Linked DNA regions of Sus scrofa. The protein of the gene in region 1 binds, or shares a complex with, the protein of each later gene. Links are inferred from orthologs where the notes say so. Each region holds a gene or a part of one and is shown on either strand. Other genes may lie near its edges.

Region 1 (15,177 bases):
CCAAGAAATAAATCCTCCTTTCCCCAAGAAACTGATCAGGTCCACCTACAGGAGTTTCAGAATAATAACTACCATAACAAGATCGTAAAATGAATAAGGTGGCAATGTGTATGTGTGTGTGTGTGTAGGTGTTTGTACATGTGCATATACACATACACATTACTCATACACATGCCTATACACATACACATTAACGCACACACATACATAGCTCCTTTTCTCTTCAGGGATCTAGCAGCACAGGACATAAGCAAAGCTGGGCTCAAAGTCAGTACTCGTTTTTGACAATCTCCAAACTTCTGAGCTTTCACTTTTGTGAAACAGGATATGCAATCCCTGGTTTATCTCAGAGCTCACAGTAACTTCCAAGAGCTACAAGAACCCCAGATAACAAAGGGTCCTGAACTCTGATAAGCAAATTCTCAATGGCAAATGAAAATAATTATTCCTACTCTGAGCAACTATGAAATCACCTGAAAACCTTATCAAAAGAAAGGCTTTTTTAATGTACTCTCAGCATCTCCTACACAGTGCGGTGAGAGGGCACTGGGGAACAGGCACTTAGTCAGGAAAGAGGAAAAAGATAGAACAGCTTTTGTTTTTTCAGGTCTGTTAGAAATATTTTCATGAGGGTCAGTCCAGTCTCTAACGAACACATGATTAAACGAAAACATTCAACCTATACACATATCAATGAGTCCGAGAGAATAAGAATTCCTGATGTATTACAAATATATCTGGAAAATATGCATGATTCCAGAACCCAAACCAACCCCAGAGGAGAGTGGATTTGTCTTAAATAATAAATACAAACAGAGCATAACTGGGAGATATCAATTCACCAGCTCCAGTATTGATGCAAAACAAAGAAACCTACATTGTCTTTTTGGTCCCATTTCTGAGATCCCTTAAAAGGCATTTCAGGAATGACTTGCTCAGCTTTCACAGCACTGAAACCAGGGTACTGTCTGCCTCCTGTATTGCTTTGGCTGAAAGTAGACATGAGGTACTTATGCTCAGAACCTGCCCTCCTCAAATTAGGGTCAAGACACGGGGTCTTGACAAGCCATTCTGCCTAAGGATCCTCCCCTCTCCTCCTCAGCTTTTCTCCCTTTTAAAAAACTCTCACTGTAAATATTATGCATCTGAGTAAGTGAAATGAATGTCCTCTCCCAGAGGCTCCTGATAGAACATTCCTGTGTTAATCCAGAAAGGATAACTGGTTAACATACTGGTATGCTGTCAATTAGTGATAAATTCCTTTGGATGGAAGGATGGGTAGGAGCGAAGGGATTAGCAGGAGGGATCTGGAAGGGAAAAGGTTGAGTGAAGGATATCCAGAGGCAGCGACCAAGATCATTTTCACATCCTTTATAACTGCACCATTCATTGGTACCACTGTGACATGACACTGTGCTAGTGAAACTGTGTGAGGAAGGAAGAAGAGGGAAAGATCTGGAAATGACAATCCAGGACCCACTGAGGAAATTCTGGCCTGGTATAGGACACCCAAGGCACAGGTGCTGGATGCAAGAGCCCATGGTCACTTTTTTATGAGGTCAGTTTCGTGCTGGCTCTCAGATTATTTTTAATCCTATTCTAATGTAGGGCAGGTTCATTTCTTCCTATGTCGAAGGATTCACCAGTTAGTAAGATGGAACTGGCTTGATTCCAAGGCTACAGAGGGTAGCAATTGAGAACAGGGGCTCTAAAAACTGCAGAATCTGAGTTTGAAACATGTCTGGCATTTCCTAACTCTGCGATCTTAGGCAAGTGACTTAACTTCTTCAAGCCTCAGATTCCTCACATGAAGAGTAAGTATGTGATTTAGGACTGCTGGGAGAAAACAATGAGCTACTGAAATAAAGAGCTTAGCGCTGTGTTCAAATAGCCAAGATTAGCTATCTTTATTATTCTTATCATCACTATTTTAAAGCGTTGTGTATTTTCTCTGTGAGCAATTATTAAGCTGGGCCCAGAATCCAGCGTGTACTCGCTCATTTCACTGAGGTTGCTTAAATCAAAATTAGGCCAAATCTCTTGATTTAGTCTGAAGGTTAAACCAGCTGAAATGAATCAGAGATGCAAAAGGCAAAGAGTTTTCTGGGGCATCCATTCCAAAGCATCCAGGTCCCAGTGGAAGGATGTACAAGTTCCAAATGATGAACTGACATCACCAAGAATCAAGGGATTTGTGACAGGAATAGCTCAAATGACTTTGGAATACAATATATTATTCCTGTAACAGATAAATAACGATTCCAGCCTTTTGCTTCGGCTAATTGAGGAACAACAACAGTATGCAGTCCTCCGAGCTAACTAGGTGGTCAAAATGAAGAATGGAGGTGTATGTTAAAAAAAAAATTAGGGGAAGAATTAAGGATATTAGGCAATTCTTCTTTTACGTTTTTTTTTTTTTTCTTTTTCTTTTTAGGGCTGCACCCACAGCTTATGGAGGTTCCCAGGCTAGAGGTCGAATCGGAGCTATAGCTGCCGGCCACAACCCAGCCACAGCCACAGCCACAGCCACGCCAGATCCAAGCCACATCTGCAACAGCTCATGGCAATGTCGGATCCTTAACCCACTGAGTGAGACCAGGGATCGAACCCGAAATCTCATGGTTACTAGTTGGATTCGTTTCCCCTGCACCACAGCGAGAACTCCTAGGCAATTCTTGATATGGTGTATATGCATGCAGGAAATCAAAAGTTCACAGAAAACTATGTGAAATACTCAAGGTTATTTGGCAGAAAGTGATATATATAAATGTAAAATATCATCATCGTCGTCATCCAAAACAGCCTAGTTTTCGATGATAATCACTTGATCTCTACTGGGCACTTCTAAGAGGTCTGCAAATGGGTACTGCAATAAGTCGGATGTTTTCTTTTTAAACACGATCATCATACTGTACACTTGATACTCATTCTGAGAGCTCAGATCTTCCCTTTCCCTAGTACAATTTTCATCTAAGCATTCCTTAGATACTTAGATCATTCTTAATGGAGATTGTGCATTATACCCTCTGTGAACGCATGGAAATCTGGCTAATTGGACTGACTTGATTACAACAGTCGGTGAATTCTCCCATTTCCTTCCACTACTGTAAATGCTTAAGATATTTTTATCACAGATTATGTAAATATTTTAGATTGCAATCATTTTCTGAAACAGTGGTTGCAGGCAAAAGCTCTTTTATCATTCTGCCCACCAAAGAAAATTCCTATACTTTCAAGATATGTTTCTTGTTAGTATTAAAAACTGGGTGTCCTAGCAAAGTTTGAAACAAACCTGTAGCATGAATAGCTTTCACTACACCCTATGGTAACTGCAACTGAACAGTCGCTTTGTCATAAATTGGTCTCTTTCAACCCCAGTAAGCGCATAAGGACAGCACAACCTTTAACAAAGGATACAGGAGGTGATGAAATATCTACTCCCCAAAACTGAATACCGGAAAATTAGCAAATATACTTTAATTTTGAAAGCATCTTGTTTGCTGTTAAATGTTGTATCCCAGAAATGCTTTTCAAATTATTTCTTTTCTTGGCCAAAATAAAGTGTCTCACCAAATAATTAAGTTAGTACTGTCTCTTTAAATGCTGGGATGAGTCCTTAATTCCAGTGGTTACTATCCTCATATATTATTGCTGTCAAAATTGAGTCAGCTTGGTGAAAATACACTCCACGCTTCTATTCGAAAGTGTAAAACTAAGTGCTGAGTGGGAAAAAGTTTACCCTCAGTGCCAGGGTAAATCAGCTCGGAGAGAAAGTAGAAAAGCACTTCAAGCTACTTGCTGCAGACACAAAATAGGCTCCCGACCTCTACTGCGCATGATCCACTCTTTTGATGACCGTTCCTACCCCTAACCCGAAAATGCTAGGAGTTGGGGAGAAGGATAGAAAAAGGAAGATGGTGTGCACGTAGGAAAGATCAGCCATTTCATCTCAATCCACACAAAAACTGCCTCTCATTCCTCGGGAGACTTCCTATCAAGGAAAATAGAAGTGTCCCTTTGAAAGCTAGCTCCTGAATGAGAATGGACTCTGGGATGGGGAGCGTCCTCTTCTGTCCTCTCCAGATCCCAGTGAAATCCCTCCTTTGCTGTTGAGTGCTGCTGGTGGGGCAGAGTCCAGACACAGATCTGAAATTTCAAAAATGCGATAAAGCCCCAGCCGGTCAGCCCTGGGAGGCGAACAGCTGCCGGGTGACCGCTGATGAAGTGGCTTCTTAAGGAGGTGGGCAGATTGATTCCAGCTGCTGAGCGCGGGGCAGGGCAGCGGCCGAGGAATGCTCAGCTCAGCTGAGGCAAGAGGCAGCAGCTTCCCAACCAGTGGCAAAGCCAACTATTAGCTCTGATTGCCTTCTTGGCCTGAGAGAAGGAAGAATGCCTTTGTTCCATCTGACAGGGACTTTCGAGGCAGCCCGAGGCCAAAAGGTACCATGTGGACAGTGTCATTTTATAAGTGGAGTAAAGCTCAGGAAATCTGAGTGTTGTTCTTTGAGATGGTTCAGTGAGAGCCACCAGTTCCCAAGGTGAATCCTATCTGCCTGATTCCTGGTTCTCTGCCCCCAACCCACTCCCAGCCTCTAGCTCCTTACCCCTACCCAGTCTCCTTTGCTCCCTCCTCCCCTACCGAGCACACAAACACTGTAATCAGTACGCAAGACAGGGACTGGGTGCGCTGGAGGAGTGGGGAACACTGAGAACCCTCCAACTGGCCTAGATGGTCAGGACAAGAAGACATGGTCTTTATAAGCACTGGCTTCAAAGTCAGAGAGCTTAGGGGGAGCGACTAATTTAGGGGTCCCCTGAGGGCCCCAAACTCAGACACCAAGAGGGAAGGGGTAAGAGGCAGGCGGGCATGAAGGCAAGCCTAATGGAATATTCAATATCCTGCGAAATGCACTCTCGGCCACGCACTTCCAGAGACTAAAAGCCAGTAATGGGCTTTGGAGTCTGCACTTCCTCTCCCTAATGTCCAGAGGCGCTTTAATGCTGCAGCTAATCGATCAGTCTTCTCCGGTGAAGGCAGCGAGTGCAGAGCAAAAGCTTCCTACTTGTGGCCAAAATCGCCCGGCCCCCTCTACACACCCCGAAAGAGCGACACACAACTTTGAACTGGCAGGATTTGGCTCTCGACGTGCCGGAGGAGGAAAGGAAGGAGCCTGGAAGCGCCCAGAGAAATAGCTCCCCGCCCTCTTTATCCCAACTTTTCCAAGGAGAGTCTCAGGAGGAAGACAAATCAGGCGGGGGCATTATTATCCACCTTGGGCTGACCAGTAACCCCCAACCTGCTTCAGGTGCAAGGTCATCTAGCCACCTCCAAGCCCAGGGCAGCCCAAGATGTGGCACTTCTGGAAGGGACACAAACTGAGCAAAGGAACATCCAGAAAGGGCGGGGGGGCGTTCTTTACAATTTCCTGCTGACATCACTTGCTGCCTGGAAAATGACCCTCAGAGGCTGATCCCTACAGTGGAGACGCACCCCAGCCCCGCCTCCCTTTGCCCACCCCCTCCGCGCCTTCCCAGCAGGGCTCCTGCTCTGGACAAGTTCTGTCCCTAAATTGAACCTAACCCTGCTCAACCTCCTGTCGCCACTCCCAGGAGGCTCCCGCGGCGCACTGAGCATGCCCTGTGGCCTGGGTCTTGGTGGGGGGGTCACCTCCAGGAAGGTCTCCAGGCCCGGAGATGGGCCGGGTTGTGTGCCTGAGTGGGCGCCCCACAGGGGTGCGTGAAGAAAAGACCGCGCGACGGCGTGCAGAGTGACCAAGTTAGCCGGCGCGAGAAAACTTTCCACGCTCCTTCTCCCCACCCCCACTCCGCAGGGGCGCGTCTCTCCGAGGAGCTTGCCTTTCCCAGCCCGGCGGAGACAAGCACGGCACGTGATGGGCAGAAATAAAAATAAACACTTCCCATTCCCCGCCCGCGAGGGCCACCCCCACTCGGCGCGCTGCGGACAGCAAGGGGCGCCGTGCCCGGAGCCGCCCCCCCCGCCGCCGCCGCCGCCGCCAGGAACCCCCAGCCCCTGAGCCGCCGCCTGGACGGCCACCGGGCCCGCCGGCTCAGAGCAGTGGCCACGCTCCTGCCCGCCTCGGCGCCTACCTTTCGGATTTGGTGAACTTCCGGAATGCCTGTCGGAGGTCGTGGAAGGACCTGTACGTCTGCGGCTCGGCCGAGATGCCCTGTGCCCGGGTGGTCCGGGGGCCGATGTGGGTCGAGGGCACGGGCAGCACCGACTGACATTTATGGAGCTTCCTCTTCAGCTCCTGGATTTCTTCCTCCTTCTCTGACAGCCGCTTCTCCAGCTCTTTGATCCTCTCCTCCTTGAGCATGAGAATCTTGGCAAAGTCTTCCTCCAGCTCACTCATTTTTTCCCTGAGCCCCTCTGCAAAACTTTTTCTCGGGCGGCGGCGGCGGCTGGGACGGCAGCCGGGAGAGGCGAGCGCGGAGTGAGTGAGTGAATGGGCGCTAAGTACTCGAGCGCAGCGGAGTGCTGCCCCTAATGCGCAGCGAGAAGCCGATTTCTTCGATCCACTTCTGCTGAATGGACTGAAAGCACCGAGGGGAGGATGAGAAGTCTAAAAGCGATGGAGAGGAGAGGCAGAGTGCTAATCCCCAGCCTCTCCGGGGAATAGGTGATTATCTTTCATTGAGAAACCAATTAGAGCTGCCCTTCCTCCCCTGAGACCCCCCCTCCCCCGTCCCCCTTTCCCAATCACTTCGTGAGAACACGGCGCAGGCCACCCCACCGAGAGCCTGGTTTCTAGCTGGGAGGGTTGGACCAGTGAGCCTGGTCTCACCCCATCACACAATAATCACTCTTCCACGCTATATGGTACCAAAGGAAAGGGGTGGGGTGGGGTAGGGGGGGAGCTTTATGCCACTTGATCCTTGAAATAGCAACAATTACCATGTGATCTGGCAGATGACGCAGCGCTTGTAACTGGAGCCTAAAGACTTTGTGGGGTGTGTGTGTGTGTGTGTGTGTGTGTGTGTGTGTGAGTGAGAGAGAGAGAGAGAGATTTCATAAGTCTTAAACTGCCTTTAGACAATAACCTGCATGAATTCATCGTCTTCACCTTTTCTTATCTGCTCTGGATGGTGAGGGAGGGTATGTGTGAGTATGTGTTTCTTAATGTGAAGCCCCGTGGTTGTGACCCTAAGTAATGAGAATGACAGGGCACTAGCAGGTCTAGGTTTTTTTCAGCATAAAATGGTAGTGGAAATAGTAAACTAAAATTGTTGGTGGGGAAGTTGGGTGAATATGCATAATGAGTCAAACGTTTACCGAGAAGAAGGCCATGAATTGATTGTAAACTTCTTAGACTTTGGATTTTATTTCTTTGGCTATAGTTAAAATTTGTATATTGAGCATACAAATTATATCGCAGTACCATTCTGTTTGGTTGTGAAGTGAGGGCCACCAGTGTTAAACTACTAGCTCATCCTACAATTCCAGTTTTAGGGAGAAATAGGGTCTGCCATTCTCATTTGTCCCTCACCTATTCATCCATCACCACAGCCTCTGCTAAAGGGATTTTTATCCACACTGGAACCGAGAGTATTTGTGATTCCTGCACTTAATTTTTTAATATATGTCACAAGGAGCATTTTCATAATATAAACCACTGTTTAAGAGTTTGGGTATATAGGAGGAGCATTTCTTCAGGTAATGATCCACAAATTAATGCATCTTTTTTCAAAGGAAAAACATAGGTGCAAAGTAAGATATCAAAGTGATTTTGTAGAAATAATAATTTTTAAGAAGAAAGATCAATGTACAACCACTGTACTTTTTAAAACATTTTATAATGATTTTTATTTTTCCATTATAGCTGATTTGCAGTGTTCTGTCAATTTTCTACTGTATGGCAAGGTGACCCAGTCACACATACATGTATACGTTCTTTTTTTATATTAGTTAATGGATTTTATTACATTTATAGGTGTACAGCAATCATCACAACCAAATTTTACAGCATTTCCATCCCAAACCCTCAGTGGGTCGAGGGTTTTTTTCCTCACATTGTCATGCTCTATCATAAGTGACTAGATATAGTTCCCAGTGCTACACAGCAGGATCTCATTGCTTATCCACTGGCTACTTATTAATAAAAATGTTTTTGCTTCATTGAAACACTGAAGTAAAGGAAAAGCAGTCATCTACTTTGGTTTATAAATAAACCCTAAAATATATTTTATTCTGAAGATTTATACTGTTAGTTCTACTCATCTAATTGTTTTAAATTAAAAGCATTTTAAGCCATATTGAACTTCTTAAGCTCATCAGTTGCTCAAGACTGGCTACCGTCTACTCATATTTGAGAAAAGGGTTTCTGTCTTTACATTTAGTATTCTATTACTTCTATCTATGGAAAACTTAATCTGTTTATAGTCCTTTTAGAAAGGCTCAAAATAATTGACATTTAAGAATACATTAGAAAAAAACTTTTCTCACCTTCAAAAATCTAGGCATAGGTTCAATTTTATTTGTGGAAGATATAGAAATAGTTTTAAAATGACTCCTAAATGGACAGGTTTTTTTTCAAGTTTATACTAACATTAAATGCAGATATTCAAATATGTTTCTCATGCTTATTAAAAAAAGAAACTTTTTGACTAAGTTTTCACACATACCTCGAAACTCTAAATTCATACCTATCTTTAAAAATTAATATTTTTTAAATAAACCAATTTTAACTTAAGTAATATTGATACCTAGTGATTTTAAATCACGTCCATCGGCTTATGAAATATTTAATTTACAGCACAAGGAATGCTTAAGAAAAGACAGCCTGGTAGACGAATAAACATTGAATTATTAAAAAATCATAGCCTTTAAAATCTATAAGCAACTTTAAAGATGATCCAACCACTTCATATTATAAAGGAGAAAAATGAGATTTTGAAAGGTGAGGTCAAGATCACCCAAGGGCAGAAGTTTGAATCCAGGATTACCCAGGCCATGCAGCTCCCAGCTTGAAGCCTGAAAATCTAGAAATTCTATGATTCTGACAATCTAGTGTTAAAAAATGTAGTTTTATCGTTTGTTCTTTGCTTTTAAATATGTAGTCCTAAGTTTCAACTATCAAAACACAAAGTGTTAATGAAGCCTTAGATTTTTTTTTTTTTTCCTTAAAGGAGAAGGTCGCCATCTAGTGCCCTTGGAGAAATTTGCCAAAAAAAAAAAAAAAAAAAATCACAGTGAAGTAAGGCTAGGTCCTTAAATATCTGTACAAGTGTTTTCATGCTCCATGTTGGAGAGAAAGAAAAAAAATATCCAGAATTTTGTGTCAGAATAAAAGTTTTTTAAATTACAAGTTTGAAAATCTTTTAGCCACTGGATAATGACGAGAGTGGTGATAAACATTCATTGAGTATTTAATATGTGCCAGCACAGGGTTAAATCCTTGATGTGACTAGCTGGTTTTAACCCCACCATGACTCTATAAGGAAGTATTATTATTCACTCTCATTTTAAAGATGGAGAAACTTATACCCAGCCAAATTAATTTGCCCATGGCCACAGTGCCCAGATTTGACCCAGGCTGTCTTAATTCCTGTACATACTGCCTCTACCTGAAATGCATTAAAATGCCCATTTCTCTATGAGCCCAGTGACAAGCAAAACTAAAAGTTCTTTGTTAATGGGAACATGCTAAATTTAAAATCCTATACAAACCCTGATAAGTATCTAAGACTCTGGCTTCTCAACAACCAATCTCTTGACCAAAATTGTTTTCCTTAGGGTATTTTGGGATATATTATACATTCCATATACAGTTTCAAATGTTTATTTAAAAAATACGTGTACCTTCAAATGTTATGATGGTGCTTTCCCTCTCTACCCTCACCCCTCGAATAAGGAACGCTTTCTAAAGAACCTGAAGCCTTTTAGATGTGAGTAGCTCATAGGGAGCTCCTGTCCTTTAATTCAGATTAGTGTCACAGGGCACATTGGGAAGACAGTGTCTATAAAGAAAAAAATTCCAGGACAATAATCAAACTGACCAAAAGTCAGTCTTTTTTATTATCTTTTTTATTATCACTATGTGCCAGGAGTTCTCAACAATGTCAGTGATAAAATACTCCTCCCCCCCAAAGTATATTATTGGTCTAAGTTCAAGCTATTGCTGATTTATTGTTGATTGAGGAGGCCACTCCCATTGCCCCACCCTTGGAACAGCACTGACCTTGGTGCATGTTACAGCCATCCAGGGTGAAGAAAACAGTCATGCACAGATGATTTATGGGAGGTCCCAGGGTTGGCAGTAGAGGGGTGCAGAAGAAAGTTGTGGAGAAATGAAAATAGATATGTGGTCCAAGTTTTAGAAATGAATGAGGTAGAGGTACGGGGAATTCAAGCCGTCTCGTTTCAGTACCTTACATCCAATCACTTCTCTTGGTTAAAAAGATGACAGTATTTGTGGAAATTTGCATGCAGTACTTTTTTTTTTTTTTTTTTTTTTTTTTTTTTTTTGTCTTTTCTAGGGCCGCTCCTGCGGCATATGGAGGTTCCCAGGCTAGGGGGTCTAATTGGAGCTGTAGCAATGCCAGGATCCAAGCCACGTCTTCAACCTACACCACAGTTCACAGCAACGCCAGATCCTTAACCCACCGAGCAAGGCCAGGTATCGAACCCGCAACCTCATGGTTCCTAGTCAGATTTGTCAACCACTGAGCCACCAAGGGAACTCCAGCATGCAGTACATTTTCTATCAAGGGATGCAACTGGTGAACTAAGAGTACTGGACTGTAACCAAAAGGTCTATATTTATGTCTTGGTTCTGTCACTTTCCAAGCTGTCTGCTCTCAGGCAAATCCCTTGACTTCTCCAGCATTCACTTTTCCCATTTGTAAAATGGGGAACGGGAGTCAGCTTGAGTCCATTTCCTCTTTCTCCCTTCAATAGGTCTATGGAATTCTGCTTTCTCTGTGACTCACATTTTGAAATTATTAGTTTGTTCTTATTGACAACATTCAGCTGTGTCCTTTAGCTGAGTTTAAAACTGAAAAGAAAGATTTATGATGGAGTATGGTTGGTCCTATAAACATTATAGTGACTTTGTGATTAACAGAAGTTTGGAGCATTTTCAGTTAATTCTACATCATACTAGATGTGGCTTCAACATTGTCACCTACATCACATTCTGGTGACCATAAAGTGTGGTCACACCTTAGGCAAGATAAAAGCTTGAAGTCCTGAAATACACCCACACCTATGTTAACCACTATGCAGAACATGAAAATAGCAAATGAAGTGTTGCCTCAGTTTCAGTTTATTGAATTTACTTAATGTATCATAGGTTATTTTTTTTCCCTAATATGTCCTGACAGAAAACCATGTATAAATTCTTTTCACTACATGGTCCTTTTGGTGTAAATGTAGTTCTTTCTTATGCTGCATGCCAAATCCTGAATGCCTTTCAGGATTTTCTGTGATTGCTGTCTAGGCATTTGAAAAAAATTTCTTCCTAGAAATTCTGAAAAATAAAACTAAGAGATGATCGTTCTTAAATATTGTAGAAATCAAACTCTGTAATATATTAAAAACTTTGGACCTGTAAAATGGAGGCAGAGATGCTATGGGACTTTAGGCAAATAATTTTACCCCTCTGAGCCTCAGTTTTCCCAAATATAAATTTGACATATGGATAGTAAATTCTCACAATTGCATCTTTAAGGCTCAAAGTGCCATGACAACAAAATGTTATTGTCATTTAAATGTGACCCTACATAAATAACAAACAAAATGGTAATGGATCTTCCACTTTGATTCTTGCCAGGGAAAGTAGTCCAGTTAGGGGTGGAACAGCCTGGCTTGGTGGTGGTGGTAATATTTATACTACATTCAGCCTACTCATTACTTGTGGAGTCAGAATTGAAAGACAGCTCACAAGCTTCTCACCACTTGATATATAGGCAGCTTCTACCAGTCATTCAAACACTAGTCAAGGTGCTGCTATAAAGGCATTTTGCAAATGTAATTAAAGTCCCAGGTCAGTTGACTTTACGATAAGATCTTCTGGGTGGGTCTGACCTAATTAGACTGGGTCAGGACTGGGCTCTTCCTGGAGACAGAGATTGTAGGCATGAGAGGGATTTGACTCAACTCAGGGAAGATTCTCCAGTGTGGCTTTTGCTGACAGAAGGGACTGAATGACCAGGAATGCAGGTGAAATTTTAAATGCCGAGAATGACCATTGACAATCAACCAGGGAGCAGGGACCTCAGTCCTATGACCACAGGAAACTGACTCCTGTTAAAACTACAAGAGTTTGGAAGAGAATCCTGAACTCCAGATAAGAATGATACATGGCTGACACCTTGATCTCACTTTGCTCCAAGGACCTAACCATGCTATTAGCTCCACAAATGTAAGATAAAAATTGAGTGTCTGGGGTGAAGAAAACAGAACTCATTAAGGGTGCTCTTTAGCTGCTGAAAAATAGAAGCTGGCTATTCTTGGAATTTGGTTTAAAGCTGGACAGATTTGCTTTGTTATAGGATCAAAGCTTTGTCTTAAGTCCTCATTTTCTTTTAAAATTGAATAAAATCTCTGTGTACAGAAAAAAAAAAGTGTCGTTTTATGTCTCTAAGTTTGTGGTAATTTGTTAGACAACAATATAAAACTAATGAATTACTCAACTACCATTTTAAAATGTCCATTAAAAATGTCAGAAATGTTTTACCACTCTCAGAAACCTGACTTTACAAAAGAGTCATTTTTAGTGAAATTACTTTTAGTACATTTCAAATGGATACTTGGGGACATAAAAAGTTGTTATAAATTATAAATTGCTTGAAGTACACTGATGACAAAACAAATAGCCTTTTGAGAATGACAAACTCTCTTCCATAAAAGATGTTTATGTTTAAAAGTTGTGCCTTAGTATGACTGAAGTATAAATCCTTCCAACAATAGGTTCTAGAAAGTGTTGGAACCGCTCACTAGCTTCAATTTCTATGTAGAAATATTATCGTAGTTTACCTTAGGTAGTGAATTTACTCTGTGACCTTGGGCAAATTATTTCATCAGCTGAGCCTTAGTTATCTCATCTGTAAAATAGTATTATGTGTTTTATAGTGCATTTGGCTCTAGGAGTACATTTTTGGCTCTGGAATTTAAATATCTTAGATTCTTATTCATTGGCTGTTTCCATAGTCATTCATGGAAATTAAATGCCTCTACATCATAATGCCTTCCAGGTTCAGGTGCTAATCAAATATTTGAGAAGAAGTCTGGGGAAAGAATACAAATCCTTTGAGTTTAGCCATGTGTTTGCTTTGATATTTTGATTTGATTTTTAAAGTAAGTGACATTGGACTCATCTATGTAGGACTCCTTTTTTATAAATTGTTACACGATTTAGAAAGCAGATGTACACGATATGGAATTCAAAAAAAGCGAAGGACATCCAATGAAAGGTAGGTCTCCCTCTCATCCGACTCCCTAGCTACCCAGACTCCCTTTATGAAGGCAACCACTCGCTCTTACCGTTGACTTGGGCGTGCCTCATTAAATAGCATATCCATATATAAGCATATTTGTATATAAATATATACATATATTTTTAGGGCCACCCCTGTGGTGTATGGAAGTTGCCAGGCTAAGGGTCCAATCAGAGCTGCAGCTGCTGGCCTACACCACAGCCACAGCACGGCATCCAAGACACGTTTGCAACCTACACCACACCTGGATCCTTAACCCACTGAGTGAAGCCAGGGATTGAACCCACATCCTCATGGATACTAGTTGGGTTCATTACCACTGAGCTATGATGGGAACTCAATAAATAACAATATTTTACACAAATTTGGCATGAATGATTTAATATCTGGTTTGTATGTTAGCCTATCGCCTAACTTGGTGCTATCCTTTCCAGACTCTGAAACCCCTGGTCCAGTGCAGCATGACACAACTAACCCACTTTGTGATAAAATGCTTAGTAACAAGGCACAGAGACTGCTGCATCTAGAGAGAGTGTGCCCTTACCTCACACAAGACTGTAGGCTATGGGACTATATGTTACAGGACTATAGGCCTTCTTACCGTAAAAAAAAATGGCATTTGGTGTTTTATTAAATATTTTAACAACAATTAGAATGGTCTGATACTTTAAAAGAACAAGCAAATATTATTACATATGTATAGGATTTTAAGGATATGATAAAATCACCTCCAGTCTTAATTCTTACCACCTGCTTCTCATTGATGGAGACATTCATCTGTGCTCATCTCTGGTTATTTCAAATTAATAGTTCCCATGTAAAAAAGCTAACTATTACCAGAGATAAGGACCATTGTATTTTGACAATCTTTCAATCTGTTGTAACTATCATGATTTTTCTTGGTCTCTAGTCAAAACTGCATAGTTCAATAGTTGATTTAATACTTTTTTTTTTTCTTTTTGCCTTTTCTAGGGCCACTCCCATGGCATATGGAGGTTCCCAGGCTAGGGGTCTAATCAGAGCTGTAGTGGCCAGCCTACACCAGAGCCACAGCAAAACCAAATCCAAGCCGCGTCTGCAACCTACTCCACAGCTCACGGCAACGCCAGATCCTTAACCCACTGAGCAAGACCAGGGATAGAACCTGCAACCTCATGGTTCCTAGTCAGATTCATTAACCACTGAGTCATGACGGAAACTCCTCATTTAATATTTCTAATGCACAGGAGACACATTTATTTGGAAATTATTTTATCAAAATGTCGTCATTTATTATAAAAATATATAATAACTTCTTTTTATATAAAAAATAGTTCCACAGAACCTACAGTATTCCAAGAGATATTAACACTCCTATTTACAGGTAATATTCCCAAGTGCTGTACTGATTATATTTTTCCCATCTGTGTTATATAGGGCTCCGTTTCAACAGCCTTAATAAAAGGGGGAAGGTGGTAGAAACATTCAAAACTTTCTCATAATAATATTAAATCATTGCATAAGTTACAATGAAAAAGTCTTTCTTTGCACTGAAAATTGCTTTGGCTCAGCAGAACTCTCCCCTTTCCACAGCATCTTTTCCAGCCACCCACAATTTGCAGAGAACAGAGAGGCGGCAGAAAGACAAGAGGATATTGAACTAAGAAGACACAGTACCCGCTACCTTTCATTCAAGACTTATCTAATAAAGGGAGATCACTTTACAATTCCCCAGGCAGG
Region 2 (14,892 bases), on another chromosome or scaffold:
GGCTTTCCCTGCCCACAGGGGCCTCCAAGACCCAGCTTATTTCCCATTCTCATGGTCAGTGCCAAATGTCATCCCCTGTCTGGAGACGTCATATCTTTTAAGCTTCCTGTGACCCCACAAGTGTCCATGGCCTCATTTTCCTGATTGATAAACAGGCTCCCAGTGCTTGGCCCCTTAACATGCTCCCAAAAGTAAAAAGGTTCTAAGCATGGGTGTGTGGATGTTGCGTACCTGTGTGAGGGGGTATGTTTCTGTGTGTCTGGGGTAGGAGTATATATTGCATGCATGAGTTGCGCTAGGGCTGCAGAGAGCATGTGCACGCTGTACACATGCAGCGTGGGTGGGTACAGAGAGGGGTGCCTGTCTTGGATCCAGCAAGCAACTTTGAGCTCTTTGTGTGTAGAGAGCAGCCCTGAGTCCTCCCATGATTTTACAGCTATTTATTGTGCTCCAGTGAAGTAGAAAAAGAAAGTGCTCGCGTTACAAACGCCACTGTCACATCCCATAGGCCAGCTGCAAACCAAACCGCGTGTGTCCTCTGGGTCTCTGGGCATGCAGTTTGCTCCCACTGCGGGAATGGGGTGGGGGGAGGCGCGAGCCTGGGCTCTGGGGGCTTCGCTTGGGGGGGCTTCTGGTCCGGGGGGGGACCCACCTGTGGGGAGTGGGGGACAGCGGGGTAGCTTTGCTCAGTGCGTCCTTTGGGTGCTGTTGGGAACACCCAGCTCCATGTTGGACCTCGTAGTGCTCCAGGGAGGTGCCCCCTTCCCCCCCACAGGTTCCCCAGTCTGCTCCCCACAAACACTAACCCTGTAGGCAGGTGCCAGGGGGCTGGAGGAGCCATGCAGGGGGAGGGGGTCAGCAGGCCAGGCCAGGCCCACCAAGAGCAGCAGCCAGCCTCCCTGGGGGAAGGTGGGAGGCCCAGCACCCTAGGCAGAGTTGTAGTAGTTGTGCGGGTGGTGGTTGTGGGCAGGTTCGCCCAGCTCCGGGTACTCAGGCGTCAGGCAGTACTTGGGATCGTAGACTTGGCGGGGCAGTCCATACACCGTCATGCCCCGCTGCGAGGCCCCCTTGTTGCTGCCCATCTGTAGGCTGACGTTGAGCGTGTCACAGTGCTCCATGCCCAGCCCCGGCTCGAAGATCTGCCGCTTGGTCCCGGGAGCGGTCATGCCAGCCTATGGAGAGCAGTGCAGTCAGGCCATGGTGACAGTGAGGGGCACGGCCCACCAGCCCACCACATGGCCCCCACACACACCTGGCTGGCTCCCTTGTTGGTGCCCATCTGCAGGCTGATGGTAGCCTGGTCCAGGGGCTGGTCCGTGCCCAGCTTGGGGTCGTAGAGGTGGCGCCGGGTGCCATAGGCTGTCATGCCCTGCTGACTGGCAAACTTGTTGGTGCCCATCTAGGGAGCCAGAAGAAGGGTTACAGAATCTCCCCATGGGCCGGAAGATATAACTGATGTCAGCAGACACTTACATGGCCCTCTAATGAGGCACTGTTTCTACCCTGGGCTACAGACTGTAAACTGAGGCCCAGAGAAGGTGTGTCGCATGACTGCTAAGTGGCCTGACTTCTGGGGTTCAAGATCCAGCCCTGCCAGTCATCACCTGGGCAATCCTGGCAAGTGAGCTATCTTCTCCAGGCTTCAGTTTCCCCATCTATATAAAGGGTACGATGATAACAGTACCCATGCCCTAAGCCGCTGGAGGAGTGAGTTAGGATGCAGAAAATGCCAAGCATATAGTTTAGTAAAAGCCAAACATCCTGTCCCCCCAGAGCCTGCGGAGACCAGGGTACCCTCCAAGCCTCCTCAGCTCCCCCCACCCGCACCCCCACCTGCTCAGCATTGAGACCCAGGTGAGGAAGGGGCATTACCTGCAGCCCAATGATGTTCCGCCCTTCTCTTAGCTTCTCCGGCTCAAATTTCCGTTCCTGCTTCTCCGCATATTTCACTCCCACGTTCACCTTGTTCCCTTTCGTCTTGGCCTGAGGAGGGTGAAGGGAGGCAGGGAATCTTTGGGCTGCATTGTCCCCTCAGAAACCCTTAGCAGTCAGCAGCACCTGCACTGGCTCAGGGACACAAGTGGGCACACCCGCATCCCAGTGCAGAGCACCCACAACCTCTCTCCACCCATGCCCACCCTCCACCCACACTCACCATGCTGGCCAGGGCCAGGAGCGTGGACTGCACTTGTGTGTGGTTGGTGTTCTCGAACAGGTCGTTGGCTTCAAAGATGTCGTGGGGCTTCACCCCATACTTGGTGATGGCCTTGATGAAGTTGCCAATGTTCTCCAGCTGGAGGGGAGGGGGGCAGCAGTCAGGGATTGGGAGGGCTGCGGGGGTGGGGACTGGGTGGAGGATTGAGGGGCTATGGGCCAAGGGTTGAAAGAGTTAAGAGAGGAGTTCCCGTTGTGGCGCAGTGGTTAATGAATCCGACTAGGAACCATGAGGTTGCGGGTTCAATCCCTGGCCTTGCTCAGTGGGTTAAGGATCCGGCGTTGCCGTGAGCCGTGGTGTAGGTTGCAGATGTGGCTCGGATCCCGAGTTGCTGTGGCTCTGGTGTAGGCCGGTGGCTACAGCTCCGATTAGGCCCCTAGCCTGGGAACCTCGATATGCCGCGAGCGCAGCCCTAGAAAAGATGAAAAGACCAAAAAAAAAAAAAGAAAAAGAAAGAGTTAAGAGAGTCGGGGCTCACCTGGTGCCAGTTCTGGGTGGACTCATTGACCTTCTTCACGGAGCCTGGCTGGAGCTTATTGATGAACCTACAGGGAGTCGAGGAAGGGAGTGAGGAAGGTGCCCCCTGCCGCCCCCACCCAAACAAACCCAACTCCAGTGGGACAAGGGGGTAGGATGACAGTGGGCACCATCCTTTTTCTCTGTTTCTGACTGCACTCGGCCCTCAACTGCAGCCCCGCCACACCACCTTCACACACACAGGCACGTCCAACCTCGGATCAGTCCCCATCAAAAAGCCTCCCTATCAAGGTCATATCAGAATCTCCAGATGTGCTCCCACCTCTCAGAGGACCCTTTTAGTCTCCTTTTCTCTTCTGGGCCTCTACCCACGGAGAGCCCGCAGCTCAGAACTGAGGCCTCTTCTCTGGCCACACGCACTCCCTTGATCTGAGTCTTGCAGCCGCCTCTCACTCTCCATTCCAGCTTCCCACATGGGCATCCCAAACAAAAGCACCCCCCCAGACTAACACCCACCTCGCCCCACAGAACTCCCCAGCCCAATAAACTCGCCCTTCCAGGCCTCAGACAAAGCCCTCCACCGCTCTTGACTCTCCTTTCTCTTTCTCTCACCCCCACATCCAACCCCTCAGCAACTCCTTTGGCTCTGCCTCCTGAAGACTTCCAGAAGCCCTGCTCTGAGCCACCAGCATCTCTTGGGCTTTTGCCATGCCCTCCCCATGGGCTCCCAGCTTCCACTTCATCCGCTCCAGATGCTTGTCATACCACCAATAAAATGACCTTTTTTTTTTTTTCATTTCACTCTTTTTTTTAGGGCCGTCCCTGTGGCTTATGGAAGTTCCCAGGCTAGAGGTCAAATGGGAGCTGCAGCTGCCAGCCTATACCACAGTCAGGGCAACACTGGATCCCAGCCACATCTTCTACCTACACCACAGCTAGTGGCAATGCTGGATCCTTAACCCACTTAGTGGGGCCAGGAATCAAACTGAGTCCTCATGAATACTAGTTGGGTTCTTAACCCACTGAGCCACAACGGGAACTCCTAAAATGGCCTTCTTGGAGTTCCCATCACAGCGCAGAGGAAAGGAATCTGACTAGAAGCCATGAAGTTTCAGGTTTGATCCCTGGCCCAGCTCAGGGGGTTAAGGATCTGGCATTGCCATAAGCTATGGTGTAGTTCACGGAATCGGCTCGGATCCTGCATGGCTGTGGCTGTGGCAAAGGCTGGCAGCTGTAGCTCCAATTGGACTCCTAGCCTGGGAACCTCCATATGCCGCAGGTGCTGCCCTAAAAGAAGAAAAGCAAAAAAAAAAATAAAATGGCCTTCTTAACACAACTCCAGTTACTCTCCATTTTGTTTTGGTTTGCTTTATTTTTTTGTTTTTGCTGCACCCACTGCATGTGGAAGTTCTCAGGCCAGTGATCCAACCTGCACCATGGCAGTGACCAGAGCCAATGTGGTGACAACACTGGATCCTTAACCCACTACACCACAAGAGAACTCCCTACTCCCCAGTTCAAAGCACTCCCATGGTTTCCCACCATTTTGAGAATAAAAGCCCAATTCCTTCACCTGGCTAAGGGGTCCTGTACCATCTGACCCCCAGCTAACTCCCTCCACTTTCCCTGATCACACCAGCCTCCTCAGTGGTCCTTGAATCCAGGAGGCACGCTCCCACCTCAGGGCCTTTGCACTGGCTGTCCACTGGCCTGGCCCACTCTCCCCTAAAATGGCATCCTGGCAGCTTCCCTCACTTCATCCAAGATTCTGCTCCACTGTTACCTCTTCAGAAAGACCTCCAGACCATTCTGTACAAAGCAGCAACCCTTCATCCCACCCACCCCCAACCCCTGTCCTTTTGGGCTGGTCTCTTCTCCAAGGCATTTCCTGTCACAGGCAAGTATGTGATTATTTCATCAGTTCTTTGATCGATCACCCCCACTAGGATGAACGCTCTATAAGAGCTCCAAGTCAAGTCTGTTTTATTCACTATTCCCAGTGCCTGGACCTGGCTGGCAGGCATACAGCAGGAGCTCCATAAATGCACCTACTCCATACATGGGTGGGTGGCTCTGCACTCTTTAAGGCCTGGGACACCAGGCCACTCCCAGACTCCTCATTCCTAGTGGATACAGTGGAACAAATACCCCCTTCCCACTGTTTCCAACAGCCAGAGCTTGGAAGGCTGCACCTTCAGGAAGCTTCCCAAGCACATGCTCTGACCCTCATGGTCAACCTGCCCTGGGTCAGACTCAGAGATGCAGACAGGACCCCGGCTTGGCTCAGGGCTCAGCCCAGAATTAGGGTTATGAATCTGGAAGGTGGAATCTAGAATCGGGGTTTGGGAGCTGTAAGAGTTTGCATCTCCTTGGTGATTAGGTTCTGAGAGGAGTGCAAAATCAGGGCCCATTTAAATTACTATGGCACATCCCTCAGATCCCCAAACCAGTGTGACAGTCATTGTGGCCTGGTGCCTTTTAGCTGGGGAGTGGCAGGGGGAAAGGCACCTCCCTTTCTTGGGGCTCTGGAGGCCATAAATGTGGCTGCCCTGTATGCCTGGCAGTCCAGTCTCTAGATTCTAAAGTAATTTCTGTTGGAACAGCATGGGACATTGGGTGATGTGTTTTACCTAACTGAGCCTGTGTTCTTTACTTTTAAATGGGCACAATGACTATCTGCCACCTTAGAGTTCTGTTTGGAGGTATCAGATATAAAGTGCCCAATCTAGTTCTGAGCTTATGGTCGTTTGAGGGGTTCAGCGAGCAGAGGTGAGGGGTTAGGGGGGCTGCTCAAGGCAGAGTCTGGGCCACTTACTCGCAAAGAATGATGCCATCTTTGAGGCCGTCCATGAAGTTGTTGCCGATGCGGCGCCCTGTCACCCCCTCGATCCACTCTCGAAGCTCCTGCTCCTGCTGGTGGTCATACTTCTGGGCCAGCTGCGGGCAGGGGACACAGAGAGGGTGGTGAGGACGCCATGGGGAGCGGGGTTGGCTCCCAGACCCAGTCCAAGCCTCCGGAGGCCTGATCTCTTCCCTCCTCCCTTCCCAACTAAGGCAATTCTGCCCCAGCATCCAATGAGGGGGGACAGGGGCGGGGTGGGGGTTGGGGAGGGTGCTGAGGGCCAGGGTTGAGGTGGCACCTGCCCAGGGGGCCATTCCAGGCATTCTGAGGTTTGGCACCAGAGAATGTGGACAAAGGGGTGGAGAGCAAGATACTCAGAGCTGGGGGGTGGCGCCTGGACTCCTGGTTCCCCCTCCAGACCAAACTTGGGGCTTAGCTTCCCCCAGCCCTGCCCCCCTCCTGGAAGCCTCGGGCAGGGGAGGAGAAGCCCTAAGGAGGTGCCCCCCCAAAAAAAAATGCAGCCTTGCAGGGAACAGCTCTATCTTCCATCTCTGTGTCTGTCCAAGTCTTCATCCCTAAGGCTCCCTCTCTGTCTGGGGGCAAGGGCTTGTCTGTCCGACTCCTGGCCCCATGCTTGTCTGTATTTCTCTGTCTCTCTCCCCATCACCGGATGTCCTCTATCTCTCTCCCAGCTCTGTCTTTCCTGGGCCCTGTCGTGCTACCCCATCTCTGCTTGTCTGGCTGGGGGTGGGGCTCCTGACTGGTCCATCTCTGCCTTCCTAGGTCTCTCTCCATCTCTGACTCCAGGTTCTTTGCTTCTGGAAAGGGTGGGGCTCGTCTGTCTCTCCGCCTCTCCCTCCATCCCTGTCTCAGTCTTATCTCGCTCCAGGCTCGCCCTCCCCCATCCGTCTCTCTCAAGTCCCAGGCTTCCAGAATCCCCGGCTGCGTCTCTCCCCGCCGCAGCCTCCTCTCCCACTTTGCCCCCCTCCGTTTCTCCAGCACCCTCTACCCCAACTCCAACAGGCTCCCGGTCCCTGGAGAGCCTTTCCAAGAGGAGGGGGAGATGGGAGGGAGCGGCCCCCTCACCTGGCCCCGGCCCTGCCGCCCCCCTCCCCACCAGCCCGGCTTTATAAAACAAACCGGCCCTTATATAGCACGGCCCCGCGGGCCGGGCTCCGGAGCCCGCCTTATATGGCTCGGCGGCTCCGCACGGCTCTGGGGCCGGCGCTGGGGGGAGGGGGGGCGGCGCTGGGATCTGTCCCTGGCTTGAGCACCCGCTCCCCCCGCCCCGCCCCCTCCTCCAGAATCGAGGATCCCCCCGACCCAGGTTGCCAATCCCAGCTCCCTACCTGCCGCCTGTGGAACCCTGGGAAAAGAACCCTGAGTCTCAGTGGTCCCCTCTGTCAAATGGGGCTGAGACTCATGGGAGAGCAGACAGGGCAGCACTCATGGGAGAGTTCCAGTGGTTTGGGGACGTCAAGCTGGCTGCCATGGAGAAGCTGACCCCATTCTGGTGTGTGTAGAGGGGGCAAGTTCAAGGGCCCAGTTTGGCACCTCCCTTATGTAGGACCCAAGCTACTTGCCTGTCCTCTCTGAACCTCAATTTATCCATCTATAGCATGAAGGTGTTGTCCCCTCCCCCTTTCTTGCCAACTCCAAAATTAGGAGACCCCTGCTATGTCCCTAATGCCCACTCTCTGCCCTCCCCAGATGTTTCTCTCTCTTTTACAATCTCCCACACTTTGGGGCCTCACCTCCCAGGAACCCCAGCTCTGGAGCACTCCCCAAATTCTGTGTCAGGCTGGGAGTGGGGGCAAAATCAGGTCCTTCCCCAGCCCCCCAGGATCAAAAAAAAAAAAAAAAAAACGGTTAGTAGAGGACCCCAATCAAGTGGGGTTTTCACAGTGGACCAAGTGCCTCAGTTTACCTGTGACTGCCTGCAGGGCCCCCATTTCGCACCCCAACAGTAGCTGATGGCTCTGGGATGCTCAGGCCAGGGAGGAAGGCAGCACCTTCCCCATACTCATCCCTTCTCTCTCTTAGTTCCAAGTCACATGGGATCAGCAGGAAAGGGGTCCAGGGAACCCCAAGAATGGGACCTCTGGCCTGGCAGGGCAAGTGGGCCAGGCCTGGGGGGAGGCCCTCCAGCCCTACCTTGTTCTTGACCTCAGCCGACAGCCCGTAGGCGGGGCCTCGGTTGAAGTGAGCAGAGGACATGCTGGCGGATGGTGGGCAGCGGTGGCAGTGTGCGCTGAAGCCGGCGGCAGCAGCTGAAGCTCCGTCTGCACCCTCTTCCCTCCTCACACGTTTTTGAAGCTCTGGAGGCGGCCCGGGACTCTTCCAGGACCGTCCCATTGGCCATAGGGGCCTGCCAGGGGGCGGGGCGCCCCCACCTCGGCCACCCCCCTCTTCGTGATGTCAGGGCCTTGGTATTGGGAGCTGATTGTGTCATTGTTTCCACCTAGGGGGGCAGCCTGGGTTATTCTTTTGAGGGGGGGCTTGGCCAGACAGAGACCAACCTTTCCCCACTCCCCACTGTTCACTGGGCTTCTGGCTGGGTCTCCTAGTCTCTTTGTGTCTGTCTCTGAGGCCATCTCCCCATGCCTCTGAGGCCACTTCTCTTCATTTCTCTCCAGTCTTGAGACAGGACTGCCTGCCACCTGTGGTAGTTTATCTAGCACCATTCTAAGTCCAGACACCAACCGTCTATAACTGTAGGCAAGTTCCCTCCCTTCTCAGAGCCTCTGTTGCCACATCTGTGAAATGGACTAATGACAATGCCTGCTCATGAGAGTGTTGTGAGGATCAGAAGAAATAACGCCTCCAACATGCCCAATACATTGCCTGGCACACAGAAAGATTCAGGAAACAGCAGTATTTCTGCTGAGAGCCTGGCACCCCACTTCAACCCCTTCCACTCCCTCATAAGGACTTGGGGGAGCAGAGATCCTGGATCTTACCCTGTCCATCCACCTGTGGGTTTCCTGAACCACGGAGTGAGAATGTTTGTGGGTGCCAGGCATCCCTATATCCCTGTCCCAGATAGACTGGCCTGGAGGGAACACCTACAAGCAGCCCTGCCAGGCCAGATCTCACCCCTGGACCACAGGGTGGATGACATGCCTACATCATGCTACATATGTCAAGACCACATTAGAACACTTGGGGTCAGCAACCTGCCATTCACTAATAATATGTTAAGGACATGCAATTTGCTGGCCACATGCTAAGGGGTCAGCTGTGATGTGCTTATATGACAACCGTCTGTAAGTCAGGTCCTCGTCCCAGTGTTGTATATGTATCATCAATTCATACCTCATGACACCCTCATAAGTGGATGCTGCTATTATATGCATTTTATAGATGGGGACACTGAGGGCGTGGAATTCCTTTCCCAGTGCCACACAGTTCACCAGTGGCACAGCAGAATATGAATCCCCAGCCTCTGCCAGTAACACTATGGGGCTAAGGCAGGATTTCTCAGTCTTGGTACTGTTGACATCCTGGCTGGATTATTCATTGTGGCGGGGGGCCATCCTGGGCATTGCAGCACTTTAAGCAGCATCCCCAGCTTCTACCTACTCAGTGCCAGGAAAGCACTCCTCTCCCCGTAGTCTTTACTTTTTTTTTTTTTTTTTTTTGTCTTTTTGTCTTTTTGCCATTTCTTGGGCCACTCCCACGGCAAATGGAGGTTCCCAGTTGAGGGCTCGAATCGGAGCCGGCCTGTGCCAGAGCCACAGCAACGCGGGATCCGAGCCGCATCTGCAACCTACACCACAGCTCACGGCAACGCCGGATCCTTAACCCACTGAGCAAGGCCAGGGATCAAACCCACAACCTCATGGTCCTAGTCGGATTCGTTAACCGCTGAGCCACGACGGGAACTCCCCCTCCCCTTAGTCTTGACAAACAGAAATTTTTCCAGATATTGTCAAATGTCCCTAGGAAAGGTGGGAGTGGGGATGGCGGCAGATCGCTCCCATTTGAGAACTAGTGGGCTAAGGCAACTAGAACAAGTCGATGGCGTGTAATGATATGTTGAAGATACACTAACACATATAAAATGAGCTAACAATTAGCTCCTGCTAAGTACTTAGTGCTTCGGATCCGTTAACTCATTCCTCACAGCAGCTGGATGATGTGATGTCTATATGATACACAGAGGGTGAAGGTGACTGCAAGGTGTCACACAGCTCGACGGCGGCGGAGCCAGGATTCATACAAGTATATTCCGGGATCCTGCCCACGCTGAGCGACCCTCTGACGGCCACAGGTCGCTAATGCGCATGCGAGGTCCAGCGCCTCGCCCGAACTCGGGGTCAGCGCCCCCTGGCGGCCTAGCAGGGGCGGGGCGGGGCTTGGAAGCATCTTGGCCGTGATGACGCAACGCTCTGACTCACTTGGCCCCGCCCCCCAGCCCGCTGCCGCTTGGCCATTTATAGAATCCGCGCGGGCTCTGAGGTCAGGGCCCAAGCACGACGTGGGCGGGGTAGGGGAGCACTTGGCCTGACCCCAGACGGGGCAGCCCAGGGTCTCCCTAGGGGGCAGCCCTTTTTGGGTGCGTTTGTCCCTCCTATTCTGGGTCAGAGTCTCTGTATCTTTTGCTCAGTCTTTTGGTCGTTTTGTCGCTCTGCGACGCTTAGCCTTTTTCTGCCTCAGCCTTTGTCTCTTTGTCTCTACGAATCTGCCAGTGTCACTGTCTCTGCCCTTATCTCTGCCCCCATGTCTCCCCTCTCTTATCTCCATTGCTATGTCTCTGTTTCTCTTCCACGTCTCTGGGTCACCGATTTCCCCTATGTCTCTGTATTGTCTCTGTGCTGGATGCGGGGAGAGGCAGAGAGAGAGACTTGAGCCAATATCGAGGCCTCAACCCCTGAGGACTCCCCCATTACTGGCTGACTGATGTGCAGTCTGCTACTGGACTCCTCTCTGGCGTTTCTCTGGTCACAGCCCCTCTGTGCCTCAGTTTCCCATCTAAAATGGTGGGCTTCCTGGAGTTTCCAGAAGAGTCCAGGACAGTCATGAAAGAAAAGCCCTGCCTTTCCTTAATCTTAGGAGATCCCCTAGAAACCTCCAGACTCTCTCAGAACTATCTCTGTCTCTCTCTGTCTCACACACACACACACACACACACACACACACTGCCCTTTTCCAGGAGAGTCTCACCCCCTCCCCCTGCACTTGCCTATCTTGGCAGCAGGGTTGGCCATCCCCCACCAGCTGTCCCCTCTCAAAATGGCTTCTGTTTCTGGACAGCTCACTCCATGCTAGGCTCTGTGCCAGGCACAATCTCACTTAATCCTCATCACCACCCTCTCTGGGGTGAATAAATTCTTAAACCCTTTTTATAGATAAAAAAAACTCATAGGAGTTCCAGCGGTGGTGCAGTGGAAACGAATCCGACTAGAAACCATGAGGTTGCGGGTTCGATCCCTGGCCTTGCTCAGTGGGTTAAGGATCCATCGTCGCCATGAGCTGTGGTGTAGGTCGCAGACGCTGCTCGGATCCCGCATTGCTGTGGCTCTGGCGTAGCACAGCAGCTGCAGCTCTGACTGGACCCCTAGCCTGGGAAGCTGCATATACTGCGGGTGAGGCCCTAGAAAAGACAAAAAAAAAAAAGGAAACTCATGGTTCAGAGATGGCAAGCGACTCTTCCAGGGTCACGCTGATCCTGCTGCTCCCAGATCCCTCCACATGATCTCTTAGTGCCCAAGTATGCTCTCACCTTTGCAGTTCCTTCCACCAGGACACATTTCCACAAGACTTCTGCATGCCCTCATTTCCTCTCCTCAGACGCCCCCTCTTCAGAGCGGCCTTCCTGTCCATTTGCTCTAAAATACTAGCATAGGAGTTCCCCTCGTGGCTCAGTGGTAACAAAGCTTTATAATATCCATGAGAACACGGGATTGATCCCTGGCCTCACTCAGTGGGTTAAGGATCTGGTATTGTCATGAGCTGTGGTGTAGGTCCCAGAGGCAGCTCAGATCCAACATTGCTGTGGCTATGGCATAGGCCAGCAGCTGCATCTCTGGTTTGACCCCTAGCCTAGGAGTTTCCATATGCAGCAAGTGTGGCCCTAAAATGACAAAATAATAACAGCAATAAAAAATACTAGCATACCCACACCACCCCCACCCCAATGACTGTGAGAGGATGGGCAGTGGGGAGCTGTTCACCTAAATGTTTGCACCTGGTAGTTGGCCTTCACAAAATCTCTCTCCTTCCTTTTTTTTTTTTTTTTTTTTTTTTGCCTGCACCCACAGCATATGGGAGCTCCTGGGCAAGGGATCGAAACCAAGCCTCAGCAACAACCTGAACCACTGCAGAGACACAGAGACAATACCAGAACCATAACCTACTGCACCACAGCAGGAACTCCAAAAACTCATTTTCATAAGCGATTTTATAAAAACCTCCCCCCCATTCTCTCTTCATTCATTGCTTTTTCTTGTCATAGTCCTTTCATCTTGCAAGCACAGAAATTCCACAGAGGCAGAGCTTTGCTTGTTCTGTTCACAGCTCTATCCTCAGTGCCCAGAAGAGTACCTGCACACAACAGATGCTCAAAAAATGCTGAGTAAATGGAATTAAAATTGGTGAGCCAGGACTTGAACCACATCTGTTTGAAATGTTGGTGCTTAACCATGCACAAAGAAGGGCATAAATTCCCAGCACCTCCTAGATTGAGGACAGCTGAGGTGAGGGTTCCCTTTGCATTTTCATTCCAACCCTCCCCAGAAGACCAGGAGGAGGAGAGAGAAGGGTTGGGTCACAGGCTGTGGCTGGGGTTATTCCGGGCTGTTTTACAGCTGCCCACGCCCTTGTCCAGCCTTGAGCTTTGCAAGATGTTTTGTAGGAAAAATGTCTGGTGGAACAAGAGAGCTTTTTTAAAAAGTGGACTAGATTGGCAAAAACCAGTACACCTGACAACACACAGTGCTGGGGTGGCTTAGGGAACATGGTTCATGGGTATGGGCAGCTTGTCAATAGCTTTCAGATAAATGTCCTCATCTTTTGTGGTGGTTAATTTTAGGTATCAAGCTGATTGGGTCAGGGGATGCCCAGATTCTTGGTCAAACGTTATTCTGTGTTGTCTGTGAGAGTGGGTTTTGGGGGATGGGGGGGCCTGCGGGGGGGGTGCTTGTTTTTTTGGCCTTGCCTGTGGCATATAGAAGTTCTTGGGCAAGGGATGGAACTCAAGCCACAGTAGTGACAACACTGAATCTTTAACCACTAGGCCACCAGGGGACTCCTCTGAGGGTGTTTTTGAGTGAGATTAATATTTGAATTTGCAGATTAAGACAGATTACCATCCCCAACATGAATGGGCCTCATTCAATCAGTTGGAGGCTTGAATAGAACAAAAAGGCTGATACCCCCCTCGACACCCCCCCCCCCACCAGAGTCCAGTAAGAAGGAACTCCTCATGCCTGACTGCCTTGAGCTGGGACATGGATCTCATCCTGTCTCCAGACTGGAACTGAAACATCAGCTTTTCTCGGCTCTCAAGACTGGCCAGCTCTTGGACTGGCACTTATATCATTGGCTCTCCTGGTTCTCAGAGCTTCGTTCTTGGACTAGAACTACATCATCTACTCTCTTGGGTTTCCAGTTTGCCAACTGAAGATCTTGGACTTGGACTTCTCAGCCTCCATAATTATGTAAGTCCATTCCTTATAATAGATCTGTGTCTGATATATATATATGTGTATATATATATGATTTCTATTGGCTCTGTTTTTCCAGAGAACCCTACCTTTCTAATATACCTTCTGAATCAGCACATCTCCTTTTTAGGACATTCCTAAGAAGTACAAGTTTGGGTGTGAAGAATGACATTATTGCAATGACCTTTTAATAACAAGTCACCCTATAGATCTATCAACAGGGAACGTGTGAAAAAGACAAAGATGATGGCAGAATATGCAGCACTGTGTTTCCACTAAATAAACGCATTGTGGTGCTATGGTTAAGAGTGGGGGCTTTGAATCCATAGTCCAGGGGTTTGGGACATTTCCTGGTGTTTCCTGGCCATGTGACTTCAGACAGGTGTCTTAACTTCTCTGTGCCTCAGTTTCCTCCTCTGGAAAATGGACATGTTAATAGTGTCTGCTTCAGTAGGCTTGTTTTTAACTTTTTATTTGGAGAAAATTTTAGGCTTACAGAAAAGTTGCACAAATAGCACAGAGTTCCTATATACCCTTCACTCAGCTGCCCCTACTGTTAACATCTTACATATACATAGTACATTTATCAAAACTAAGAAATTAACCTTGACACAATACCATTAATAAACTACAGACTTGGTTTGGATTTCTCCAGTTTTTCTACTCATGTCCTTTTTCTGTTCCAGATCCAATCCAAGATCCCACACTGCATTTAGTTTTCATGTCTTCTTGGACTCTAGCCTGTGATAAAGGCTAAAGATTTTTCATGACCTTGACTTTTTTTTTAAGAGTGGGGGGGTAAGGTGGTAAGGGGTGGTGGTGGTTTTGTTAGTGGTGGTGGTTGACCTTGACACTGTTGAAAAGTGCTGGTCAGTAGCTTTGTAGCCTCTCAGTTTGGTTTGTCTAGATTAGACTGGAGATTTTGCATTACTGGAAAGGATACCAGAAAGGTGATGTCTCCTTCCCATACCAAGGGCTTATGATGTCACTATGACTCATTGCTGGTGACGTTAACTTTGATCCCTTGGTTAAGGCGATGTCTGCCAGGATTTCTACTGTAAGGCTATTTTCCTCCAGTTGTTTTGAGGGCTGCATGTTGCAGGATCTACACCAGAGCTTCACATATACTATTGTACTGTTGTTAAATACCTATGTATATGTAAATGCCTGTGTTTGGATCGACTCCTTCTGGAAGGGCAAATAAGAAAATGAGAACCGCAAATGCCTCACTAGGAGGAAGAACACTGGGAGCTCTGAAAGACCGTGGCCAAGGTGGCGGCTCCACCACCTCCCACCGGCGCCTTCATCCACCACCCAGCAGAGCAGAGCTAACTGTGCCGGCTCATAGCTGGGCAAGCCCAACAGAGGGCAGTAGCACTCCCAGCAGATACCCAAGTGGCTGTCAGCGTGCGGGGGTGGGGTGCTCAAGCCTTCCTGGACCGTCAGTTGATTGGCTGCCGACCCGTTCAGATCTGCCAATCACAGGAATCTTGATGAGACCGATGTGCTTCGGCTGTGCAGAGTCGTTGAGGCGTTCTAAGGGTGTCTTTCTGTCCCCATGCCAGCGCCCTGAGTCATGGAAACCAAAGAACTGTAGAAGTGGCTTTAGGGCGGGGCAGATAACCTTCCTTGCCTGGAGCCTCTGCCAGCCCCACATTTTAGTGCTAATGTATTTGAGTTATTAACAGCCT

What was found.
Region 2: PRKG1 (region 1) and CNN1 share a complex: the UniProt entries of both Homo sapiens proteins name them as parts of the cGMP kinase signaling complex. The link is inferred for Sus scrofa from reciprocal best matches to the Homo sapiens genes PRKG1 and CNN1.

What each region holds. Positions count from the first base shown.
Region 1 is NC_010456.5:98,786,500-98,801,676, forward strand, and holds the start of PRKG1 (cGMP-dependent protein kinase 1), read right to left. Parts: upstream 6,582-15,177; 5' UTR 6,375-6,581; coding exon 6,109-6,374; intron 1-6,108. UniProt on the Homo sapiens protein: Serine/threonine protein kinase that acts as a key mediator of the nitric oxide (NO)/cGMP signaling pathway. GMP binding activates PRKG1, which phosphorylates serines and threonines on many cellular proteins.
Region 2 is NC_010444.4:70,176,290-70,191,181, reverse strand, and holds CNN1 (calponin-1), read right to left. Parts: upstream 7,813-14,892; 5' UTR 7,752-7,812; coding exon 7,689-7,751; intron 6,701-7,688; exon of another isoform or gene 6,544-6,700; intron 5,630-6,543; coding exon 5,508-5,629; intron 2,761-5,507; coding exon 2,694-2,760; intron 2,294-2,693; coding exon 2,156-2,293; intron 1,984-2,155; coding exon 1,873-1,983; intron 1,400-1,872; coding exon 1,253-1,399; intron 1,173-1,252; coding exon 927-1,172; 3' UTR 426-926; downstream 1-425. UniProt on the Homo sapiens protein: Thin filament-associated protein that is implicated in the regulation and modulation of smooth muscle contraction. It is capable of binding to actin, calmodulin and tropomyosin. The interaction of calponin with actin inhibits the actomyosin Mg-ATPase activity.